Linked DNA regions of Styela clava. The protein of the gene in region 1 interacts with the protein of each later gene in a pairwise test. Links are inferred from orthologs where the notes say so. Each region holds a gene or a part of one and is shown in the gene's direction. Other genes may lie near its edges. The genes, in order: RAB6-interacting golgin-like, N-terminal kinase-like protein and RING finger and CHY zinc finger domain-containing protein 1-like.

The links.
Region 2: the proteins of RAB6-interacting golgin-like (region 1) and N-terminal kinase-like protein interact in a two-hybrid assay, tested with the Homo sapiens proteins (2 studies listed by BioGRID and IntAct). The link is inferred for Styela clava from reciprocal best matches to the Homo sapiens genes GORAB and SCYL1.
Region 3: the proteins of RAB6-interacting golgin-like (region 1) and RING finger and CHY zinc finger domain-containing protein 1-like interact in a two-hybrid assay, tested with the Homo sapiens proteins (3 studies listed by BioGRID and IntAct). The link is inferred for Styela clava from reciprocal best matches to the Homo sapiens genes GORAB and RCHY1.

The regions. Positions count from the first base shown.
Region 1 is NC_135254.1:14,352,495-14,360,535, reverse strand, and holds the start of RAB6-interacting golgin-like, read left to right. Parts: upstream 1-4,552; 5' UTR 4,553-4,695; intron 4,696-4,724; exon of another isoform or gene 4,725-4,866; 5' UTR 4,867-4,896; coding exon 4,897-5,218; intron 5,219-5,292; coding exon 5,293-5,371; intron 5,372-5,572; coding exon 5,573-5,674; intron 5,675-6,679; coding exon 6,680-6,820; intron 6,821-7,665; coding exon 7,666-7,792; intron 7,793-8,041. Other genes in the region: uncharacterized protein LOC120344284, read right to left, coding at 1,009-1,440, 1,517-1,573, 1,648-1,973, 2,373-2,565.
Region 2 is NC_135252.1:12,119,237-12,128,154, reverse strand, and holds the start of N-terminal kinase-like protein, read left to right. Parts: upstream 1-5,416; 5' UTR 5,417-5,504; coding exon 5,505-5,618; intron 5,619-6,007; coding exon 6,008-6,141; intron 6,142-6,256; coding exon 6,257-6,386; intron 6,387-6,883; coding exon 6,884-6,980; intron 6,981-7,315; coding exon 7,316-7,448; intron 7,449-7,929; coding exon 7,930-8,020; intron 8,021-8,384; coding exon 8,385-8,540; intron 8,541-8,918. UniProt on the Homo sapiens protein: Regulates COPI-mediated retrograde protein traffic at the interface between the Golgi apparatus and the endoplasmic reticulum. Involved in the maintenance of the Golgi apparatus morphology.
Region 3 is NC_135257.1:10,033,674-10,042,052, forward strand, and holds the start of RING finger and CHY zinc finger domain-containing protein 1-like, read left to right. Parts: upstream 1-4,695; 5' UTR 4,696-4,743; coding exon 4,744-4,955; intron 4,956-5,214; coding exon 5,215-5,400; intron 5,401-5,778; coding exon 5,779-5,883; intron 5,884-6,610; coding exon 6,611-6,905; 3' UTR 6,906-8,379. UniProt on the Homo sapiens protein: E3 ubiquitin-protein ligase that mediates ubiquitination of target proteins, including p53/TP53, TP73, HDAC1 and CDKN1B. Mediates ubiquitination and degradation of p53/TP53; preferentially acts on tetrameric p53/TP53.

The DNA.
Region 1 (8,041 bases):
TAATGAAAATTATGATATATCATATAACATTGTGGGTGTATAATGTATTATTTCATGTCAAACATGTTTTAATATTTTTTCCTAACACCTGCAACTATCGTTTCTGCAATCACAGACTCTCTAATAAAATGTTATTTCCAAGAAAAAAAAAAAAAAAAGTTTGCATGGACCGAGAATCTGGAAAACGCCTAATAGCATGATGGGCGTTTTTATGATTATTTGTCTAATTCTTTAATTATTTTTGTTTTCCATATTAAATGATAATATCGGTTAAATTTATAATATATATGGTATAACTACTGAAAAAAAATGTATGCACAATGGTCACTGGATTACATTTCATGAATGTGGACACAATTCAAATTGGATATTTGAACTAATATGGGTAAATGTATCTGGATTATTTGATATTTGTGATCATTTATCTATCATGTATTGTATACATAACACCTAAATTATTTGGAAATTGGGATTCATGCAATTAAATTGACATAATAATATATTTGGATAAACCAAAACTATCATTTTCATAAATCCGATTTGGCTATGGATTTAAATTTGGCAAAAAAAAAAAAAAAGCCTTTACCAGATTTCAGTTTTTTGCTAACGCTGTAATAAACTTACTAGTTTGGGCTTGTTTACAGCCCTCTCAATAGCGTAACGGCTAACCCATGGATATAAAAAATGAGCATGTAAATGACTAAACGATACCAAATTGTCACCAAATGGAACAAGTTTGTCCTGCAGTCAAAGTCTACCCTGTTCGTCTCTATTCATGTTGAATGTTGCATAACTTCTACATATTTACTTAGTGTAAAAGTATTACGGACCTAATAACAAAAAATTTGTTATTCAAACTCTCATCCAATATTTCCATAAATGGTGATTGCTTTCCCACAAACCAACCACACTTTCTTCAAACTAAATAGACAAATGTGAAAGCACTTGGCAAAGTAAATATAATCACAGTGAAACAATAAAATCCGAAGTAAATGTAAACAATAAATGTCATGAAAATTCACTTTGTAACAAATCAAATAAATTAGAATATGATTCATTATCAACGTCATAGTTTTGATCAATGGATGATTGATTAAAATTTTCAACAAAATTTTTCACTTCCCCGGAGGGCAACAGTTCTGGAAAACAGTACTCTGGTAAAAAATAATCATAACGAAGCCTTTTTGGCCCAAAAGAGTCAGTGCGTGGAATATTATGTAATCTTGTCCGTGGATTACGAAAAACTGCTGTGTCTGTGCGAACTAATCCACAATCATCCGGATATAATTTGACTTCACTTTCTGGAATGAATAATTTGGCACATTCAACTGATGAAGCAGCAGCATCTGTAAAACTTGCACCAGTGGTTGAGGTAGACATGGAAGACACTCCGGAGTCTGATGACAGATCGTCGTTGGAACAATTCCGGCAGCGTGTAGGCTAGAACAAGAGTTATATTTTAAATATAATAAAAATAAAAAAAATGTTATGCGGTAGTTTTCGATCTGGTACCCACCTCTGGAGAAGCAGGTGTTGCAAAAAGATTGAGAAGTGATGCAGGCTGTTGCGGAACCTAAAAATGAAGAGATTATTATTAGAATATGGGAACACGATTGGACATCCCACAAAATAGACATTTTTACTTACAATATTAGGTTTGGAGCATTTACAAAGCGGGGTTTCTAGTGTCTGGACAGTTTCTTCGTCTTCAGTGAATGAGGCCTCATTTGACCGTAACTGCTGCAAATGTGCTCTAACACAAGCACATCTTTTTAGGAAATACTGTATCCATCCTGACGTTGCATTATACAAAGTCAGTGGCAAACCCGCTTTTAAACACAGTTCCACAGCCTTATTACTAAGTATAGCAGCATTGACTCTACTTCCAGAGCATACAAGCTTCTGGTGATATTTAGCCACTTCATAATCAATATCAATATAACCAGTTGGTCTAAAACCAATCCCACTTAAACCTGTTATGCATAGAGAAACAGAACAAAATATACAATTTAGGACGATAGGAGAAAGTAAATAATTTTAAAAAATATGGCAATTGCATTTAGAACAATTTGATTAAACCACTGTCTGACGGTTCGTATATTATGTCTTGGAATTATCATTGCAAAAAGCATGCAATAGGATTAAGGATGAAAGAGCAAATGATAAGAGAACATATCACGACAGAAGTCCTATTTCATGAATGAAGTCATATATGCCAGCATTAGAATTCAAAATATTACATAAGCAGTATTGCTGGAAGATTGGAAATACTGCTGTACTGAACCAGTCAACAAAACAGCAAGATCAGACAATAATACATTAATAAAATATTCAAATATCAAAAATGTAATAAAATTCGACCCATTCTTTACCGAAATATTTTTTATCTTCTTCTCGTATAACAATCATCTTTTCGGGATTCAGGTTTTCCCATGTGGCGCCCTTACACGGAACCACTATGCGCTTCTTACGCTTTTTAGTATTCTGCACTTTCGCTTGCCTGCGGTTTCGGCAGTTTAATTGAGACCGCTGAGGCCCTAACTTCACCAACTTTGTTCTAGACATAACAGATATATAGATATACACTCGCCTCAAACTTTTCTAATGAAATATTTACAATTCCTAAATCCAGAATACAGTCGCCACGAGGACACCTCAAAGAAGGGCGTCGAAACAACAGAATGTCGTTTATCGCCGTTGTAAAATAACCAATGCTGATTGGTTGGTTTGCTGGTTCACGTGACGACGACCTTTTTTCCTGTCTAGTTCCTGACGTAATAAAGAAAGATAAAGAACGACGCGCGAAAGAAAAAATCCATATCGCTGTGACGTATTTGAGCTTTTGCGTCTCGAGCCTCTGGGCACACGAGGTGTAAACTTTTATCTCCCCGCGGCGTGTTATCTCTTACCTAGACTGGATCATGCTAGTCACTAAACAAATCGAATATTTTTTTGCCCACAGTTGCCGTTCATTGATGAAATCCACTGCTGAATAGCGATATCAGAGTTGGCGAACCCAATGTACTTACAACGTGGTGATCGCACTCTGCGGCACATGGCAAGGTGTTTTTCATAAATCTCACATTTTTACATTAGTGAGGGGCCTGGATTTCATAATCATTGTTTAATTATTTTTATTAATTATTTCAACGTCTGTGCTGATTATAGAGTCGAAATAAAACCAATATATAGTTAAGAGTAATATTTTGAATATCATTGGTCTGAATATGTAATCAGCGCAAGATGCTCGCTTGCAATTAGGGCTGGGCATTTTCGAAACACTGGTGTTTCGAAATCGAAACGAAATTTTGCCTTCGAAACGAAACGAAACACACGTTTGTTATAAACAGTGAAATATGATACCATTATTACCCATGGAATTTAATGTATAATGACATCTATTTTCCACAATTAAATCCACAAAAGGATATCACTGGATGCTAATTCGAAAGATAAAACGATAATGATAATTCCACGAATGTTTCTGCTCAATGACAAAGCAGCGGCCAGATCAAAACGTGGACGGCGGCGCTTGGACGTTTGCGCGATATTTAATATTCTTATAAACACTGAAAACGATATTTGAGAGTCACGATATTCGAATAAATTCGGATATTAAATTCGAATTGGTCACTAATTACAGGTTGCATTTGCTATGACGTCATAATATCCGTTTCGAAGGTCGAAACGCCGCCGTTTCGACATATCAGTGTTTCGAAACGTTTCGAAACATTGTTTCGAAACGCCCAGCCCTACTTGCAATACAGCAATACTAAAGTATGTTAATATTTCTTCCTTTAATACACCAGATCGAGCAGAATGTTCTTCGTGTTTCAACTGTGATGGTGCATGCCCATTGGCCCAAAACATTGAATAATTCAAAAACAGTTCTTGCTAGTTTAGCAATGTTATTTGAGTGCTTTGTTTGGCAAATAATGCTCAAGAAGCAACATGTATACGTGAATGAAGGCCAATGTTTGCACAATGCGTTATAGAGGGCTGGAAAAATTAATAAAATGATCATAAATTAAAAGAATCTAGATCTATGTTTCTAGTCTAGTCCTGATTAAGGTTTATATATAAAAAAAATCAAATTTGATTCGTTCATTGGTTTTACCAACTAGTATAATGAAATTCCCTCCATGGTTCAACTCCGTGTAACTGAAAAAGTTATCAGGTTACAGTAGTTTCATTCCACAAAGACTCAGAAATCACGGAATCATGTGAACTAAATATATACTAGCAAGTGCATTTAAATGTGATTCTTGGGCTGAATTCCTAGTACTGGAAAGGAATTTGCAGCTGCTCATGTTATCTTATGTGGGTCTCATGTAGTTTCGTACCTAACGTACTTCTAGTAGGCAGTAGCATAACAATTTTTTCATGTGTCAATCCTAACCCCCACCTGACCACACCATCCCAAAATTACGTCACTACGACATCACAGTGACGTAATAGAGCCCTTCAAACTATGCGAACTGTCATCCAAGACGCGCAGACGAGAACCCGAAATCGAACAGCCATTTCTCTCGTTTTCTCGTCGCAACGATCCCGATAGGAGAGAGATCGCTGACGTCAGTCAGTTCTTAATATCGGCGGCGCCGATGCCATTTCGGGCGATCGTAGGAGTATTTGGCAAGCTCTATGACGTAATTGTGACTACATAGTGACGTAATTTTTGGATGGCGTAGTCAGGTGAGGGTTAGGATTGGCATGTCAAAAAATTGTTGTGCTACGCCTACTAGAAGTACGTTGGGTACGAAACTACACGAGACCCCAACTTTTTTACTTACAAGTTAGAAACACACATTAGGAAGGATATGAATGAATATCGCTAACAGTAAATATCCAAAATAAACTTTGCAGGAAGTTTTCTAAAGAACATAAAATCTAAAAATGAGTGACTGGGTGGGATTTACTGACGCTGATTTACGAAGAATGAAAAGCGATGGAAATCGCTCAGCTGGTGCCAAAGTTGCTAAACCCTTAACTGGCGGTGCCAAAGCGAAACAAGGATCTATCTTGGGCCAAAAGGTTCAAAAAAGGCAAAGCTCTAAAACTACTCCTCGAGTCCAAAAGGAACATGGTGATGTACCCTCGGAAGCAATGCTATCACAAGCTGCTAATGAAGAATCCTCCAAGAAAAACCTACCATCAAAAGTCACAACTCCTACTGATAATACACCATTACATGGGAAGACATGCACTCCACCAATAGGTATTTTCTCTTGAGGTTTGATGAATTTTATTACTGTTAGTTGTCTCTCTGACCAAATGTTCCTATTAATTTAGAATCTACAGATAAAAGTGCTAATGACACAGTTGAAAGCGAAGAGCCTGAAATTTTAGAAGATGCTGAAGTCATCAAAGAGTAAGCATATTATAGCCTATTTTCATGTGACCTGACATACCTAACCTAAAATTTTGTTTTTAATCAATTTGGGCAAGATGTGGTTTACAGTTTGCTTCTTGCTCACATTTACTGAATGCAATATCCTTGGTTTGTAACAACAATTATCTGATTAGCCATGGATTATATTTTATTATAATTTTTTTTATTCATACCTTCCAGAAAAGAGAAAATCAAACTTGAAGACATCCAACAGAGACAAAAACAAATGGAGGAGAAAAATAAAAGGAAGAAGACAATGCTAACGAAAGCAATTGCAGAGAGGTTCGTATATATATTGATGTAAATGTCTGTATATAATATGCATATATTATTCTTCATAGCTCTTAATATACATAAATATGTTTCATTGAAATGCTTCAAATCTTTGAACCCATACAAATTCCTTAATTAACACCATCAGGCATCAGCCTAACTATTTTGGTGTAGTTGGTTTAAGATCTTCAGTTTAACCCCATGTCCTGAATGTAATGAAAGACTTTCTAAGAAATAGATGTTCGACTGCTTCTCAGTGCCGCCTCAAAGGTCTGAAACCTCCTCATAAAAAAACTGTAATAAGTGGCTATTTTAACTTTAGGTATATACGTATATAGTATTTATAAATGGTCTCACCTAGCGCCATGGTTTCTACCTGCCAATTGGTTGTCTATTATATATAATGAATTAGAACCAAAAAAAAAAAAGATAATGATTCTATCCATATCATTGTCTGAAGCAGTGGTTCTCAAACGGTGGGGCGCACCCTCACAAGGGGGGCGTAGACAGTTTTTTGAGGTGGCGTGGAGCTAATTAAAAATTAAACTATTTGTTAGATTTGATCTTGCCCGCCTTGTTTTGAATAGGCTATTTACATTTCTTTACTTTGGATATTTATGTCCCATCCACATATTATTAATATGTTTTTTGAATGAAACATCATTTCGCCTCAACTATCTGTTATTTTAGAGGTGGGGCGCGAGACTTGAGAAATTCTCAAAAGGGGGCGCGTCCCAAAAAGTTTGAGAATCACTGGTCTAAAATGATCGTTGTTTCAGAAGTGGCAACTGCATGATATCATCAGCATATGTAACCAGCTTATATCAAACTGGTTTTTGTAACAACTTCATTACATTTCTTCTCATAGCTTAATACATGTTCAAATTTTTTTCAACTTGAAATGGAATAGATTTTAGAATTAAGACTGGTATTAGATTACATTATCATTTGCAAGATTTTTGCTAATCCTTATTTGATAAAACTTTGATACATCAAGTCATTTTAATTTTACAGAAAAAAGAGAGCGTTTGCAGAATCAACAAAACTTGTCAAAATACAAGCCGAACTTACAAAGCTTGATGGCATGTTGAATTATGATGTTTCACTTCTTAGAGATAGAATTGATGAAGCTTGCGTAGATTATAATCATGCACAGTAAGTTATGGTATTATATTTTTAATTATACATGATAATGTATGTTAATTTAGGGTGAACTGTAAAGTTTCTTTCGACCTCATTTACACTTCCTATGTTTCCAGACATCCTTTTGTTGCTTCTACTCTACTATTTCTGATATGTCATGCAAGTTGTAATTGCTTCAAATGTCCTGTAGTATATTTGGTAATATTCTACTAACAAAGGCGGGCAAAATCTCGAGGTTATTTTCATCCTCACAGTTGCTGCCACTTGATAATCTCTAACAATATGTAAAGGAGATAGCGATCAGAGACCGCTGACTTATCGATCCAGCGGCGTGTGCCCTGCGCTCTGACTCAATAGCGTGGAAACTTTTTTGATGGAAACTTGCGCATCGCACACACACTCAGCACATGCACACTCTTGCTTCAAAAATCTAGGTCATTCACGTTCTCTCGCTTTTCAAAAATCTAGATCTCTTCATCACTAATTAATTAATGACTCTCTTGTTATACGACATAATCCAAAATCAATAGGCTTCTGGTTTGTGATATGATGAATGAACATGCAAAATTTGGAGCAGATTCAACCTCGCTTGCGTGAGATATCGCATGTATCTAACAGACAAATACCTATTAACATACTTACCGATCAAGATCGATAAGTAATAAAGTCATCATTGTCTTTATGACAAGTCCATCATAAACAGTGCACATATAATTCCTCCTAATCACTTCCTGCTTCTTGATGAATGGACATAAGGGTTGTCACAAACTATGTTCAAGTTTAATTTTTAAGGATTCCTGTGTTACCAAACAGCTGATTGGCGTTTTTAAATATAAGTTATAACTGTATATTTTCAGAAAACGCTTTGATAAAGCAGAAGCGGAATACATAAGTGCAAAAATGAATCTTCACAAGGCAACACAAATGAAAGAAGAATTGACAGAACATCTATTCCATTTAATACAATTAAATGAGGAAAGGAAGGTAAGGCTGAACTATGCTTCAATATATGATAGATTGATTATGATTTGACCAAAGGATAGGAGAAATGATTTGACCACCCCGGGAGAATAGAAAGCTGATAATACTGCTCAATCATAAGACGAAACACGGCTTCTCCCGTTACTAGTCCATGTAAGGTTTGGGGATAAAAAATCATTTATTATTTTAAGATGCATGGACTTGAGTAGTAAGCCGTAACCAGCCAGAAGTTACGTGAACCACCTGACCATG
Region 2 (8,918 bases), on another chromosome or scaffold:
GGGTGTCATACAAAACTGTGCTGTGATACAATTCCATAACACAAAGTTTGCACCTATCGAACTTGCTTTTGTAGTTGAATATATTAGACATATTACATATTCAGTTAATCGTAGGTAACATTGCTGGTACATAATGCATCGTAGATGAGTTTGTTTAAATTTAGGAATTTAGCTCATAGCCTACTAATTAATATTATCTTCTATGCAGGAGGTTGCAGGGCTGAATTCAACTTGCAGCCTTACCGATCACCTGACGATGCTCATTTAGTTTGGCTCGAGCAAGTCTTCTTGAAATGCTTGTGTGGATGGAAAGTGGAAACTACCTATAATTTTTGCCTTTCTCCGATTTTGGACAAATTTATTCTGAGGCATTTCGCATAAAATTCTTATTGATTGTTGGCTGTTTATAATTCCTATTGATTGTGAATTCTGATTATAACAAAGAGTTAAAAAAAATTTTACCTAATTTGCTGGCACCTTTTTCTTGTCAATACTCCAAGCTGAGGTAATAAACAAGACAATACATTTATGTCATCTGGAAGCAAAATATGCACACTAATTAATAGTTTGGCACATTGAGATAATACATCATGACAGAAAATACAAGTTAAAGATATGTATGACCATCACATGGTAATTAAAATTATAAAAAATTAATAGGGGCTGTGGAGTATGAAAAGTTCAAGACAAAGAAAGGAACAAATGTTCATAGCTCATGAACTCTCAATTTTGCCTCCATTGCTTTGTGAAGGCCAATATATTTCGAGTGGCTGAATTGGTTTACCTTTATGATAGCAACGATTTTGTATTTAATATAGCAAGATTATGATTATTTCAATTTAATTGAAGTGATATTATTTCCCAAAGCAATGCTTGAATCGTCTAGAATAGATCAGTGGTTCAAACTCATGGGTTTTCGAGAGCCGCATTGCGATTTGGAAATTGTAAAAAGGGCCGCAAACAGTTTTTGATAATGTATACTTGAAAGATATTTTTAAGATAGTTTTAGTTTGTGACATATATTGTGATGCAACTAAACAGTTGGATTAAGTTTTATTATTTTCTTCAATTTCAAATGCAATTACATATTGATATTTGCATTCCACTATTATTGCAACATTTGCAAGTTACTGTAATTATTATAAAAAATCATAAAATGTCACCAGCATACTAAGGCCAGGCTGAAATGATTTTATAGTACCAACTCTAAATAACGAGGCCACATGATCATGGGTTAATCTGGATCTTTGCAAATGTTTAATTAATTCCAGTAATGCAAAAAAAGTTACTTTTATCATTTCATGTATAGATCAGTAAAAAAAAATGACAGATTTTTTCGACAAGACATTTCGCACCACATTGCGTGGCATAGGATTGCTTGAATTATTATTGATATAGATTTTTAGTAACCAAGTCGTTGTATAATTATATTAATATACAAACACATGGAAATTTTCTGTTCGAAGTTGGTCTTCGAATTTGTCATATTGACTGCTGAGCTTATTGTGTTTTTTCATTGTATTAGTGGAAATATGACAAATTAAACAATGTGCTTCAAAATTTTGTGGAAAGCAGAAATATTGCAACTCCCATTTTCTTCGAAAATGCCACTTTCTTCATGTACTTTGCGTTTGATTTAATCACTCAAGTGTTTTATTCAAGTATTCTCTTGCTAGCTTGATGTGTATTCTTAATTGGGTCAAAATGTGGACAAAAAAAATTAATATTTCAAAACTACTTTCAGTAAATTGTTTTCTGTGTGGATAATCAATCTCACTTTAAAAGGTTTGAAAAATCTATTACATTTAGATAAAAAAAAAACTTCCAAAATACTATTACAATTATTGTTAAGCGTTCGAGGGCCGCACTGGAAGTTCTCTGGGGACGCGAGTTTAAGATCCCTGGTCTAGATTGAAGTTGTCCAAAAAATATATGATAGTATTTTATCATGAATGATGCTTATACGCCTTCCGTAATTTTTTCTATAGTACTAACAAAAGTTGATGAACCAAATATAACACAGGTGCAGTGAGTTACCCGTAATCCTCATTTTCCAAAGCTGTTTTAAGTATGTCTGGCGTGTTTTGTGCCTTATTACAAATAAGACCGCTTATGCAATCTTACGCTGGGAAGTTTTAGTTTTTTTCCTCAAGCCCTGCAGGATGTGGGGGCCATACACAACTCTACCGGAGGGTCAAATGTCTTTGCATGCCTCCATAGGTTGTTTTTCTATTGCAAACATTTATGGAGTACTCTAATTATATTTCTTGGAATCACACTGTCACTGATATGTCGCCAGACTTCTGATATCTCCCCTTCTGCTATAGTTGTCCTGTGAATAAATAATAGGAAATTAAGATTAGACGAATAGTTGAAAGTTTTGCTTCATGTCGGCTTAATTTCTTGATTGATATACTTACTATTTCTGCTATTACCTCTTGTGCTGCAGGAGTCTCACAATGCTTAGACAGGTTTGTCCACAACTTTCACATGTGAAGAAAGAGAGGAGATTTATTAATTTTCGTTAAGAATAAATAAAGCAGTCTATATGGTTTAGAATGGAAAAGCTAATAAATCCAATATCTCATATTTTACTGAATTTGGTATATAAACCAACTAATAAAAGGGTTTAGTCAGAAAATTACAAGCATTCGCGGCTCCAAATACTTGAGAGATCAGACTATACAAGATAGACCGGTATGAGTGAAATGTTAGGTGAACTTGTTAACACTTTGATTCAATACGCAAATATAAGTGAATGCACAATAGTATATTACAATGAGCAGCAATCAGCAATGAGTAAATATCCTCACTGATTAAAAGAATCTAACCGGAGGTGCAGGAACTATTTGAAACCATAAGGAGTAAGTAAATATGTAATTTCGGCAAATGGGCAACTACGTACCGTACTGAATTAATAACTTCGTAGTCTTTGACAAAGGCTGTCTTTCCCACATGTACTTAACAGTGCGATGCCCGGGTGTGATATACCACAATAGTATTTACCTTGCCTTTTTCCGATTTCTTTTTACCTTAACTTTCCAAAATATCATTAAAATCGACAACAACTGTCGAAGCAGGCACGAACGCCATTCGTGCTACGCCTTGAAAGCAGCACACATCCGCTCGTTTTCGTCTCGTCAAGTATGTGCATTGGAGCGTGCTATCCAATACGATCTTCGGACAAAAATGCCGGAGTTGCGCATCATGTTGTTTAATGTCATTGTGAAAACTAACGAATAGAGTTCAAAAACGCGAAAATGAGGTAATGTTTACGACCACGCTTGAAAATCTGTCTGAGTGAGAAAAGTGTCTGAGCGGATGCGAAAAGGGAGCATAGTACGTCACCTTTTGCATCTTGCTCATTGGCCAATGTCACGAAGTAAACAAGGAAGTCGATGCTCGGGGAAAGGTCCATCCAGTCGTCATAATAAATTTTTATTTTAATTGGTTGGTATCTCGGAAGTATTTCACGCAATAGTGATTTAGTAAGATGCTACAACGGTGTAATGATTTTTGGGCTCTCGTCTGTACTACTGCGGTACCGGTACCTTTACTGTACGGTACCGTTGAAGCCAGAACCTTGAGTATCACAGTTTCTTAGAGCTCTGGAGCTGGATTGGGGGAAAGCGGGTCAGTGGTTGCCTGCTTTGCATCTGACTCCAACTATAATCAGCTTGGCAAAGTCTTTTTTTTTTGTCTCCATATTAAATACTGTTCACTCTTGTTGACATAATCCGTACCGTACGGTACCGTAAAAGCGCCTAACTTCGGACAAAATTACTATATTTTCGTCAATAACTCGGCCATTTATTGTCCAAACGGTGCCAAAATTGCTCGGTAAAACATTCGCGCGGTAATTTACATTCCCTGCAAATTTCGGTTCAATTGGACTATTTTTACTATTGAAATAATCGATATTTCTTGCCATCTGACCGTTATCCTTCACTGCCCTAACTTCGGACAGTCATTTTCTTCACTGCGTAACCGCGACGCACAGAGAGAAAGAGGCTTCCGATGCGGATGCCGTAATCACGTCGTTGCGTGAAGATAAGACGCTCGATCGTCGTCGTAACGTAACATTGACGTCACGACGAAAATGCATTATTTGAAACTTCCGTCGTCCTATGTTTACATCTTTCGTTCGTTATTTTCGATACTTCAGATGAGTATAATAACACGTTAGTCATTTTAATCAGGAAATGCATACGTAAATATATCTGATGCAAACCGTTTCAAACCACAATGAAGTATTTTAACGGGCTTCTATCGAAGTCTTTGAAGTATTAATATTCTCGACGGATAGCTTTTTTTTATTCTGCGCGGTTATCTTTATAAATGATAATTTATATCAAACACACGGTAAATCCGATTGTAAAGTTTAATTTAAAATTCAACTTAATCTTGTAAACATGTAGGTCCCGTTTATTTGTTGGAGATTAAATTTATTTTTAATTTCGAGTGAATAAAATTCACCCAGGCCGTATTCAATAACTGTCATTTCGACTACTAATCATAAAATAATGGTTAAGTCAGTGCACTGTGCCATATGGACGTTGGAATTATCATAGTTCATTATATATTCGATATTTAACGTCATCGATTAAGTGTGATATGTATTTTCATTAATGTAATTTTGGCATATATTCATACATGACCGAACAAAATACAAAAATATTAGATTGAAACGCCGTCTTTATCTTAACGGAAATTGTCATATTGGCTCCGTTGTGTCTGGCGTCAAAATTCATTTCCGCGACGCAGTGTGACGTCGTGTCGAAGTGAGCGAAAAATAATCTACGTGAGGTTGACGTAATTTTTGACGCTGCGTGAAATCTTAATATTCTTACGGAATTTATAATTCAGAATTTTAGATTTAATTTAAATCTCGTACGACATCTTGCGATCACTCAAATAAATTATATACATTGTTGTCGCCCTCTACCGAATGATGGTATTTTAACGATGATGGCTTCAGTAGGAGCGACGCTCTGCACCGTTGAATGCCGGGCAGTCAATTTTCGGCAAAATTTCCGTTTTTTTACCAAAAAAATAATTATGCAACATTAAAAAAGATGAGAATAGATGTAGATATAACAGCGCAACCTATAATAATTAAAATTAGCAATATACGGCGCGTTTTAGCCAAGATATGGCCGTTCAAAAATTTTGTCCGAAGTTAGGAACTGTCCGAAGTTAGGCGCTTTTACGGTACCGTACTCAATTTGGGAATTTTTATGAAATTATAAAAATGGTGTGGCAAACAATTCTTATCTCTAATTACAATTCTTATTTTTATTCTAATTTCTTTTTTACTTATTTATTTTTTGTTCGTTTACTATAAAATTTATCTAAAGCTTTTTTTTTTTTAACTTTATTCAGTTATTACCCTATAGCCCTTTATTTATTCATTTTTTTCAGTTTTTAGAGCGGCTTAATTTGCTTGCAATTAGTCTTCTAGTAACTATTTTGATGCAAAGTTGATTGTTATTAAATTTTGAAATATGTGGTCGATATTTTCGAGAGATCCCACTAAAGACTTCGCATTTGAAGTTGGGGAAAAAATCTCTGGACTTGATGATCAAAGTATATGGACATTGCATAAGGGAACTCGTAAGGTATAGCTATTGTTTTGCTAATTTTCTTGTGCATAAAAATAGTATAATGCTTGAAAATTTCCCTTTTTCATTAGTTATACTTGTTTTCTATTATGTTTTGCTACATTGAGATTAGTACTTCCAAATCGAGGGTTTTAAAACAAAGGGGAGAAGTTAAAATTTTGAAAAAATTCTCATCAACAATTCCAAAAAAAGCTGCTTTTTGAGCTGATTTTCCAATCAGAGTTTGAAGCCATATTCACGAAATATTTCATTTAAAAGTTTATAAATGTTTGAAAGTCAAAAAGATTTTCTTCATGTACCGGTAGTTTAATGATGAGTTCTTAACATTCAATGTTAAAAAAAGATTTTGAATTTTAAAGATCTGTTTTGTTGATATTTTGTTTCAGGCAAACGGAGAATCTGTTTCTATATTTGCTTTTGATGTAGCAGAAAGCAATGATGCAGTGAGACAGGTTGCTTCATCATCAATAAAACGATTGAAGACTCTTCGACATCCTAATGTTCTTACATTTATCGACAGGTATTACTCTTATTTTCTTTATCCGATTTTTGTACAATATAGAAATGTTCTTTCAAGGTTCGTTGGCTTTCAACCATGAAATGAAATTTATTTATATATTTTTTATTCTTTTCAGCCTTGAAGCCCCAAAATGCATTTATATTGTTACCGAACCTGTGGTACCTTTGTTACAACATTTGAAGACAATGGAAACTAAAAATGCCACTCGTGATCTTGCAATATCTTGGGGTCTTCACCAGATTTCTGTAAGTACGGTATTTGTTTATGATGGTTTGATTATGAATTGGGAAGAAAACACAGATGCATGTCTGTATGACTACTGTAGTAATCAATTTTTTGGAAAATAATGAAGTTTGTTACAAAAAAATGAATCGTTTATTACAGCATTTTTCAAGAGGACCATATTTCATGACCACTAAAACTCCTTTCGAGAGAGTATAGTACAGGTTGACCCTGAAAAAAAAACAGAACCCGATATATTTTTTAATTTCTTCAATAAAAATAAAAAAATTTAATTTAAACTTCAACACTTGAACTTCTGTTTGTTTCAGTGATCTGGGACACTTTGCACAAAAGTATTCTTTTTTCTAAAAATATCTTCCCAATGATCTGGGTTATGTTTTTGGGTAACCTCGTACTGACTCTTAGTCACTTTTAATTATGTATCCTGTATGAAATACCGAAAAGAAATAGTTAAATAATTATGATTGATTAATTAACTGTTTTCCAAATTGTTCTACAGAAAGGTCTCAGTTTTCTGGTAAACACTGTAAATCTTATACACAACAATGTCTGCATGTCTTCCATATTTGTTGATCAAAGTGGAGAGTGGAAGTTAGGTGAGGAATGGATTGTTAGTGTGAAGGTTATTTTCAATTAGGATTTTTTCAAAATTTTTAGTCATGATTTATTTTAAATAAACTTTTTATTTCTGAATAATCAATTTAAGATGACGTGCAATACTTTTCCCTACTGGCAGCCGAAACTTATCATGTCAGATGAAGTTTTTAAAAACTTTTATTTTTGTGGAATAGGAATATTATAGTTTGTGTAATAATAAGTATTGTCTCACTCTCATGCAATTATACTTGTGTTTTCTGTTCATATATTCATACTCAGATACGTTTAAAGCAGTGAATGAATTACTTCTATGTCATTGTTATATGAATTTCAGGTGGAGTAGACTACATGTATCCAGCCTCAGGCGAAGGCAGCAATCTTCCGCCTTTCAAAACCTTACCTATGCTAGAAAAATATGATCCCCCTGAAAAATCTGCAAGAAATCGTAACAAAAAATCATCTAAGTGGTAAGTTTCGCAGTTCAATGAACTGGAATCTTAAAATTTGGATTGTAACATCAGGCCATAGTCTTTGATCATGCAATAAATGTGTGTGTTTTTTTAAGTTTTCGTAAGTCTCAAAATAATATTCTTGTTCGAAGTAATTTCAAAATATATTATTAGGCTTTCAATAACTCAATTATAATAAATCCTACATTATGGATTTGGAATACCTATCATAAAAAATGTTGCAAACAATTTGCTTATAAGATTGTAACCTTTTTGGGTTGAATTTACCATTATTTGTGTTTGACATATAATTTATCACGAGTTTTACTCGTGGATATAAATCATTTACATAAAACAAGTCTAATTAAAGTCCTGACTTGCTTATTTGTTTGAAAGTTAGAAATCTGTAGTTCAAGTACTAATTAGCAAGAGATATTGTGCACTTCAACATTTAATAAAAAATGATTCATTCTGTAATTTTTAACTTTTAATCTTACAGGTCTTCTGACATGTGGGGTTTAGGCTGTTTAATATGGGAAGTTTTTAATGGACCATTACCCAGAACTTCTTCACTCAAAGTTGTTGGGAAGGTTAGTGTCTTGCTTTCATATCTATTACTGAAATGTTTGGAACTATTGGTTATGACAGCGGATCCAGAAGGGTGCGCCGTGGCGAGTTGCTAAGTGCACCTAGGAAATTAACAGAATTGTGTTAAACATAACTAAAATATGATTGAAAATATTACATATTGTATTTATTATAAATGTTTTGTTTTTTCTTATTTTAAATGTTGTGTATATGAATCAATAAATTCATTTTACCTTTTGAGAAGTTTGGGGACCGCTGGGTTCCTTCTGGAGTGAAATTAGTTTGTGGGGTAAATATGTTGTTACGTATTACTTGATTTTTCACCTAGTTTTCATCTGCTGGCTTCATGCTTGTCTTTCATTTCAGATACCGAAAAGCCTCGTTGCACATTATTGTGAACTCGTTGGTGCTAATCCTGCTTCGCGACCGAGTCCTGATCGATTTATTGAAAATTGCAGAACTCAGCAATGTTTCATGAACAATTATTTTGTTGACACAAATTTATTCCTTGAAGAAATCCAGGTAGAATTTATAATAATATTTCTCTCCAACATTATTATCTTTTTCATTAGGGAATTGGAATAAATTCATTCTTGTCTAAACATATCTATGTATGAATTATTTCTGCCTGAAGTAAAGAATTCTTTGTTGCTATTACTTTTGACCTACTTTACATAGATATATTTTGCAAATTTAAGATATGTGCAAAATTTAATTTGTCGGAATTATGTTGTAAATCTTTATCTCGAATTACAAATTCTATAAAATCAGTATTCCAAACACACATATTATGTGAAATCAAATTTGTAAAATGTATTATCTTTATCTTGCAAACATAAAATTTGCATATATCGCTAAAGATAATACATTTTACAAATTTGATTTCACATAAAATGTGTG
Region 3 (8,379 bases), on another chromosome or scaffold:
TTATCCTTTTTGTAAAGTCTCTTCCTCTGCTTATTTCTGTATTTACTGATTTATGTACACTAACCTGCTGCACATGTTGAAATTTTTGTGAAGTTTCTTCCTCTGCATACGGTATCATACGTATTTATGCAAATGTTGTTTCCAAAAAAATGTAACGAAACAGCCAAAAATTAGAAAGGCATAGCAGCTGTGCAGACATGCTGGCTCATTACAAAAACTTAATTCCAATGCAGGCACACACTCTAAACAAATATAATTAATGCAACTAGTACAGTAATACTGTACTAGTCTACCGATATCGTACCTGTACAGCTGTACCGGTACGTACCGTAACGGACTACGGTACCGGTAAGACGGTACGTAAACCTGTAAACGGTACCGGTACGTGCCGTACAGGCCACAGGGACTGTCATAGCTTTCCCAGCTACCGTATCGTACCAGTATCACTTTCGCTTAACACGGGAACCACAGTCTACAAATATTGAAATATATGGAAAGTGAACATTGATTGATTGAACACCGCGCGAAACAGTACCGGTAGTTTAACTTAACCTCAAAAACCTTTCGAGTTTATTGAAATCGCAAACCGTTGCATTGCTGCATTGCGGGTACCGGTAACCCCAAACATCCCATCATAAACAACTCTTAGCGGAGCAAGAATTACGATCGCTTCTCAGTTGATATGCCTTCGCGCAATCGCCACAAGGTGTCACTATTTTTTATTCTGATCACTTCTTTGAACACAAAAAACGAATCTCTCGAAGTCCACAGGAAATTTTAAAATAAATAAAAGTAATAGCCTTCTGGGGAAAAATTTTATCTTCAACCACTGAAAATTTCAAAGCAATTGGTCCAGTATTCGAAGAGTAAAGCGACTTTTTAAAAACGTGTCAAAGAACAAGAACAAGAACAACAACAACAACAACAACATAATATTGAAACGATCGTTATGTCCACTTCGCGGCTGCACAACTTTTAAAATAATGTGAGGTGCTCCGAAGACGCTCTTGTTTACATTAACGTAAGAAAACAGTTGTCGTCGGAACGATTCCAATAGGAGAGAGACCGATAACGTCAGCCAGTTCTTTATCGTAGGCGCCAATGCCATTTCGATCGATCGTGCGTATATTTGGCAAGCTCTATGACGTGATTGTGATGTCGTAGTGATTTAATTTTTTGATGGCGTAATCAGATGGGGGTTAGGATTGACATATCAAAAAATTGTTATGCTACGTTAGGTACCGGTACGAAACTACACGAGACCCCCATGATCGCGTTCGACTATCGCACTCTTTATGAGTAGAAAATGATCGTGTTTTGTGATAGGTGTGCCGCGAATATTTAAAGAGCTAAATAGTGTGCCGCGATATAAAAAAAAGGTTAGGAACCACTGTCCTAGATGCTCTAATATTTCTGTGTCTTTATTACATGAAATAATTACGTGATTTTATTGTCATGCAAGTTGTTTCAATCTTTTACTTAATCCCGAAAAGTCCCGGGATTATACAGCTCAATCCCGGGATATCCCGGTACGGGGATTTCAAAAATTGGCCCCGAAACCCCAACCCTTGAACTAATAAACGACCTTATTGCGTCTGTTATTTATAGGTCGTCGCATGTAAAATATTTTCCGATTTCAGAATATATATTACAATATTTTACGTAGTTAACATCTTGGGATTTTCATATTTCAATATTTGAGCCGGGGTCATATGGCGAACCCCGGCTCTCGTCCGGTTGTCAGTTCATGTCGGGAATGGGGGGCAGGGAGAGATTTATTTATAACAATGATGGGCATTGGTCCATCTGTCCATTCTGCAATATAATGAAGAACTGCCTATATGCCTAATCCATAAACTAAAATGAATATCTTCAAATGGTAGGCCTACTCTGCAGATCACAACATGGAATACCGTACAATTCGAAATGGACAATATAACTTGGAATATTAAAATTGGACTGGATAAATACTGATGAAAACCTTATCCAGTTACTGCTGTACCGTGCTGTCTTAAAATTGAGAAGGCCGAAGTAATTTTGTGTTCGGGGAGGATTAGTTGCAGTCACAGGCTCACGGCCGATTTATACGATGAGAGGGCCTAGGTCAGTGATTCCCAAAGTGTGCGATATCGCGAAAAAATTTACTTCGATGTTTGGAAGTACCTACATCAGGGATGGCCAATACCGAATAGTTCACTATTTCGAATACATTCGAAATTATTATTTTCGAATATGAAATTTCGAATACTTCGAAAATAAAATCCAGTAATAGAATCTAAGTGTATGAAGGAATTTTCATACAATAAACAATGGAATAACTTCTATCTACAACCTGGCTATATTACCAGGCATTTCATGTTTGCAGATTATTGCGATATATATTTTATATAACATGAGTTGTGTTAATTAACAGAATTAAAATAATACGACAAGGCATTTTAAATAGTGGTATCGGTGATGGATTTGAATGCTTGCGCAACACAAAATCATCCTAGTAAAACGCCCATACTTTTAAATACCAACCATTATCCAAATTATTTGTCAAAAAGCGGGATAAAGTATGAGTTCTTTTTCAGACTTGAGACAATTTTTTCGTGAGTACAAAAATACGAATCAAAAAGTAAATATATTCGGGAACTTTACCACACATTTTAAGTCCGCAGATCGCCGTTGTATGTTTGTGTAATAATACTTTTATTATTTTATAAATACGAAAATAGGGTTCAAAAACTATTTATAATCGGGTAGTTTACCACACATTCAATGTCCACAGATCACCGTTGTTTTTGTAAATACCAAAATAGGAATCAAAAATTAATATCAATCGCGAGTTTGCCTCACAATTTATGTCCACAGAATGCCGTGATATTGTGCCCGAATATAATTAATTTTTGATTCTATTTTCGTACTCGAAAAAATTGTCACAATTCGGAAAAATAATTTGTACTTTATTACACATTCAAGTCCACAAATCGCCGTTGTATTTTTGAGTTATAATAGTTTTAATATTTTGTAAATACGAATCCGAAATTAATTATAATTGGGCAGTTTACCACACATTTCATGCCCACAAATACCCGTGGTATTTGGTATTAATACTTTCATTCATACATTCATTTCATTCATACATACATACATACATTCATTTCATTATCGATACTTTTGACCATCATTATCAAAATTATTTTCCAGAAAGCGGGTGAAAGTATTTTTCTAATAAATCAACTTGTTTCCCAACTTGTGACAATTTATTGGGTATCGTAACAATTGCGGCTATAAATACCGTATTTCCCGGCTAATAAGTCTACATGGCAAATAGGACAATGTATATTTTTAGCACTCAAAAAAGGGGGTTTTCCATATAGGCCTCCAAGAAGACGGGTAGAAAAATTATTCCCTGTTGTTCAGTTATGCTAATATGCGCTAATAATAATGTTTAGAACCAGATCACGTTTGTTTAGTAGAATCATACTCACAGAATTAACTATTTTTAACAATAAAGCGGTAATTTTAAGTTAAAAATCAAAATCATTTTGAACAATCTATAATTTTATAGGGTCAGAACAGAACCAGATCATGTTTGTTTGGTAGAACCATACTCACGGAATTAACTATTCTCAACAACGAAGCGGTAAATTTAAATTATAAAGCGGCAATCATTTTGGACAACCTATCAACCCGAATGTTGAAATAATTTTGGAATGTGATAAGTACCACACGGTACGTCCACGGGTTATTTCACAGCTGTGTTTCATGTCCCTGTTGTTTTCTGCTGAATCGGCAAAACCAAAGGGTCATAAATCACTTACTTTATCTCGGTGGCGGTGGCCGTGTTTTCTCTTTTAAGTAACGATAACCGGCCTACGATTAAATATCATGATTGGCAGACCCATAAGAACCAAATATAAGGTTCAACACAAATTATGCTTGAGAAGACTAATGCGAAAAATAAGCAGGCCACATAGAAATGAAATAAACATGCTTTCTCAATAAGGCGCCCCTCCCCCAAAAATCAAGCCAAAATTGGGTCTAGAAAAGCGACTTATTAGCCGGGAAATACGGTGATTGTCGATTTTTCGACTAATGGAAATGATTTTGTGAATTAAAAGACGAATGTCGGCAATGTCCACCAACGCAAACGTGCAAATGTGTCGCAACACTATGCGACGTACATTCGCGCTGAATATAAACAATCAAAATGCCGACTCTATTTCATCGTCATTACAATACGTGAGAAAGCGTAAAAAGTCGTTTGAAGATTCCGGTAAAACGAAACACCGTGTTTACGGGGAAAAGTGACTACTATTCGTAATTATTCGGAAATGAGCCGAAAAGGTATTCGAATACCTTGATATTCGAATAATTTAGAATATTCGATTCGTTCTGGACAACCCTGACCTACATACAGATTTACATATTTACCTCGGATGAAAGGAAAGTCGTTATAGCTGTGGTTCGCCATATGATTGCGCTGTCTTGTCAACTTTCCTCTCCCCCGCGATAAATAATATTATAAATATAATTCAAAATATGCAAATCCTATCCTAAGACGACTTAACAATTCCAAGCCGTGTATGGGATTCTGGGATTAGTAAGTCAGTTGTTAAATATGAAGATTTATTCTGGTATTCATTAATATCCCAGTCCCTATTGCTATTGTTCTTGTTACAATGTGAACAGTTAATCAGTATTGTTTATATTTATGTGTGTTGCAGATAAGTTAAATATAATTACAAACTCAAAATGTCAGATATAGGTAATAATTCTCACACAGAGACAGAGAGTGAAATTTGCACACACTACATAAGAAGATGTCTGTTAGAGTGCTCTACATGCTGGAAATTTTATCCTTGCCGCCTATGCCATGATGAGAAGTGTAATCACAAACTGAATCGCTACCTTGTGAAGCATATCAAATGCAACAATTGTAGCACTGTTCAAGAAGTTTCTCCAGAGTCAGTTTCAAATTTAATGATAAAACCTTGATAACAAGCTTCTTGGCTTCTCGTTAAAATAGTTGATCGCTTTTTTTTTAAATTTGTATATATATTCTTTGTACTGGCCATTTTTCTAACATAGTTTCAAAAAAACTTTTTTTATTGATATTTTCCTTAATCTAATAGAACCTTGAGCTAAGAGCTCTTAAAAAGGCATTAAAATTATAAACCAAGCTTTGTGACCTAATTATGTTTAAAAATTTAAAAAATATTTCAGATGCAAAGTTTGCAGTACAAATTTTGGAAAATATCACTGTTCTATATGTAACATGTTTGATGACAGAGATCGTAAGCAATATCATTGTGATGATTGTGGTTTGTGTCGAGTAGGGGGACGTGCAAATTTTTTTCACTGCGCGAAATGTGATCTATGTTTAAGTATTGATATCAAGGATTCTCATAAGTATGTATTTTTCAAATTAATTTATGCTCTTTTCGTTGTTTTGTATTTTTATGTCAATTTCAACAATTCCTCAATCTCAACAATTGTTCTCTCAATCAGATTCATGCATGTACAAAATAAAAATGCCAAATTCACACTCTGCTGTTTCCCATTTTAATTTATAATTTGTCAATGGCATTTAATAAGGTTGATTTTTGGTATTTACAATTTATTATATTCAGCCTTTGAGCATTGATTTAGAAGGTTTAAAATATGCAATATTTTATTACCCTTGGCTTAGGGGTTAAATATTAATGGAAAACGATATTTAAAATTTTTGTTCTTTATTGATACACATTGTGTTGAGAGCTTGTGGCAAGCTTGTTACTTTTTATTAAGATGTGTGGAAAAATCATCGAAATCCAATTGTCCAGTGTGTTTAGAAGATATGCACACATCCACGGAGTCATTAAAGGTTCCCTCGTGTGGCCATCTTATTCACCAGTGAGTTTTTTCATTAATGTTTTCCCATCTACCAACATGATACCATGCCACACTGGTGCAATTGTGTGATATGAATGAATTTAAATTTTTTCACGAAGGTTTTGTCACTTTTTTACAAGGCTATTTAAACTTGAAATCACTCGATAGTCTTGCTGCATATTGTGTAACTTTTCTTTTGGCTGTGTGTAAGACTTTTCAGACAAGAAAATTTGACTAAATAGTCATAGTGGTATATCAAAAGAATTCTGATTCTAAACTTGGTTAATCAAAGGAATAGTTGTGAAATTTAGTTGTGGTTTGATTGTGGTTTAAGCTTGTGGATCCCTAATTTATAGGGGAAAATATATAGGTGGTCACTAGTCGTTCTTCAAAGAGTTGTAACAATGATTTTAACTAGTTTTGTTTTAAATTATCTCTACTCCAAAGATTGTTATTTGTCTTGGTTCTGGTTAACATATGCTAAAGAATGTTCTCATAGTTTTTTTGATAGAAAGTTTTTTATGTGTACTTGTTGGCCATCTGCATCTGCACAACACTTCTTTATATCATCATTTATCATCAAGTTAATGAATTTGAAATTTTAACATTTTATGATTGAGTGACTTCGCAATCATAAGAATTCGGTGATTTGTTCAAGTCAATCTTTCAATTCCCTTATTTGTTTAATATGAATATTGAAATAGCTTCATGACAACACCCTTCAAGTAATTAAGCCTTTATCTTCCAGAAAATGCTATTCTGTAATGCTTCAACACAATGAATATCGATGTCCGTCATGTGGCAAATCGACTTTGGAAATGTCAAAAGTTTGGGAAAATCTTGATGAAGAGATTGCTGTGACACCTATGCCAGACGAATATGCTAACACATTGATATGGATTCTTTGTAAGGACTGTCAGGGAGTGTCTAATGTCCGATTTCATGTTCTGGGATTGAAATGTTCTAAATGTAAATCATACAATACATGTGGAACAGGGCAACCTCAATCCAAACTTCTTGAGACTGAGGAACCTCACACTTGACAAACTGTTTACTCCTTTCAGTTGTACTAATTTTTGTCTGGCAGGTTTTACTTATTTTTATCAAGGATATAATATTCCATGTTTATCGCTTGGTATTTATGATTTTTAGTCACACACAGTTGATATTGAGATATTTCAACGTCAATTACGAATTTCAAATTATTGAAGAGGTGTTTTCACTTTGAATAAACCTCCAAACCAGTGGTTCTCAACCTTTTTTCTGTCGTAGCCCATTTTTGTTGAACAAAGATTTCATGGCCCATTAACTTTTCAATGCCAGGATAAAACTACAAAAAAAAAAAATCTTCCCACAATAAAGACACTTTCACTTTATTGATGATTAGAATGAAAATTACCACTCCACAGCAAACAACAGAAGCATCTTTTATTGCTACTGCAATCAAAATTTATTTATAGTGACACAAATGTAAATAAATTTATCAATAACTCTTGTGCAATTTACAGTAGGTTTTGGCCCACCTGGAAATGTTTCTGTGGCCTAGTAGTGTGCCATGACCCACTCGTTGAGAACCGGTGCTCTAGACCAGGGGTGCACAACACGCGGTACGCGTGCCAAATTTGGCACGCCATACGCTCAAACGTGGCACGCGAACAGTTTTGTGAAAAAAAAATATTTATGATACACATTAAAATATCACGTTTATATCAAAATCAGCAGTTTTTCAGGACATTAAATTGTTTCAATAAATAGATATCCGTTATTATGTATTATTATTGAAATTTGTTTGTTTTGCAGGAGTTAATTTACAATACCACAATTGTGCGTGGTACGCGACAAGATTATTTTGAAAAATTTGGCACGTATCCTCATTTGAGTTGTGCAGCCCTGCTCTAGACAAACCGCCACTGATGTGTATGGAGCTACTATTCATGGAAAGAATTGTTCACCTAATTCATTCAACCTGGGTAAGGTGGTAGGAAAGGGGGTTGAACCTTTAACTATATAAATTATTCAATGGTTAATTTATAAACTTTGCTTGATGGTATAGTATGAAATTAGTTTTATTCTTCACTTTTTATAATGAAGAACAATGAATATATCTATGTAAAGTATGTATTCATGGTCACCCATTATATTTTTGAACAGCATTATAGCCATTACCATTAATATACTTTTTATTAAAGTATACTCTGCGTTTTCATATTGAACAGTCATCTGACCATTCTGTTTTAGATATGTTATTTTGAGAAGTCATGTATCAATTATAAATAAAATGTTGCGTAATATCTATTTGTAATATCTATCTACCTATTGAAAAGTAAAATTTCCATATTTATACCAGGCGAGATAAATATGATGAGATGGCTCAATACTATCATGGCCCTGTCACCAGATCACTAGTCTGTGATGGGTATAGATATATACAATTAGTTGGTTGCTTCTGATACAATATACTGCTCTTGCTCATATTGCAAAACGAACTTGTTGGGCATAACTGTACAAAAATACTTA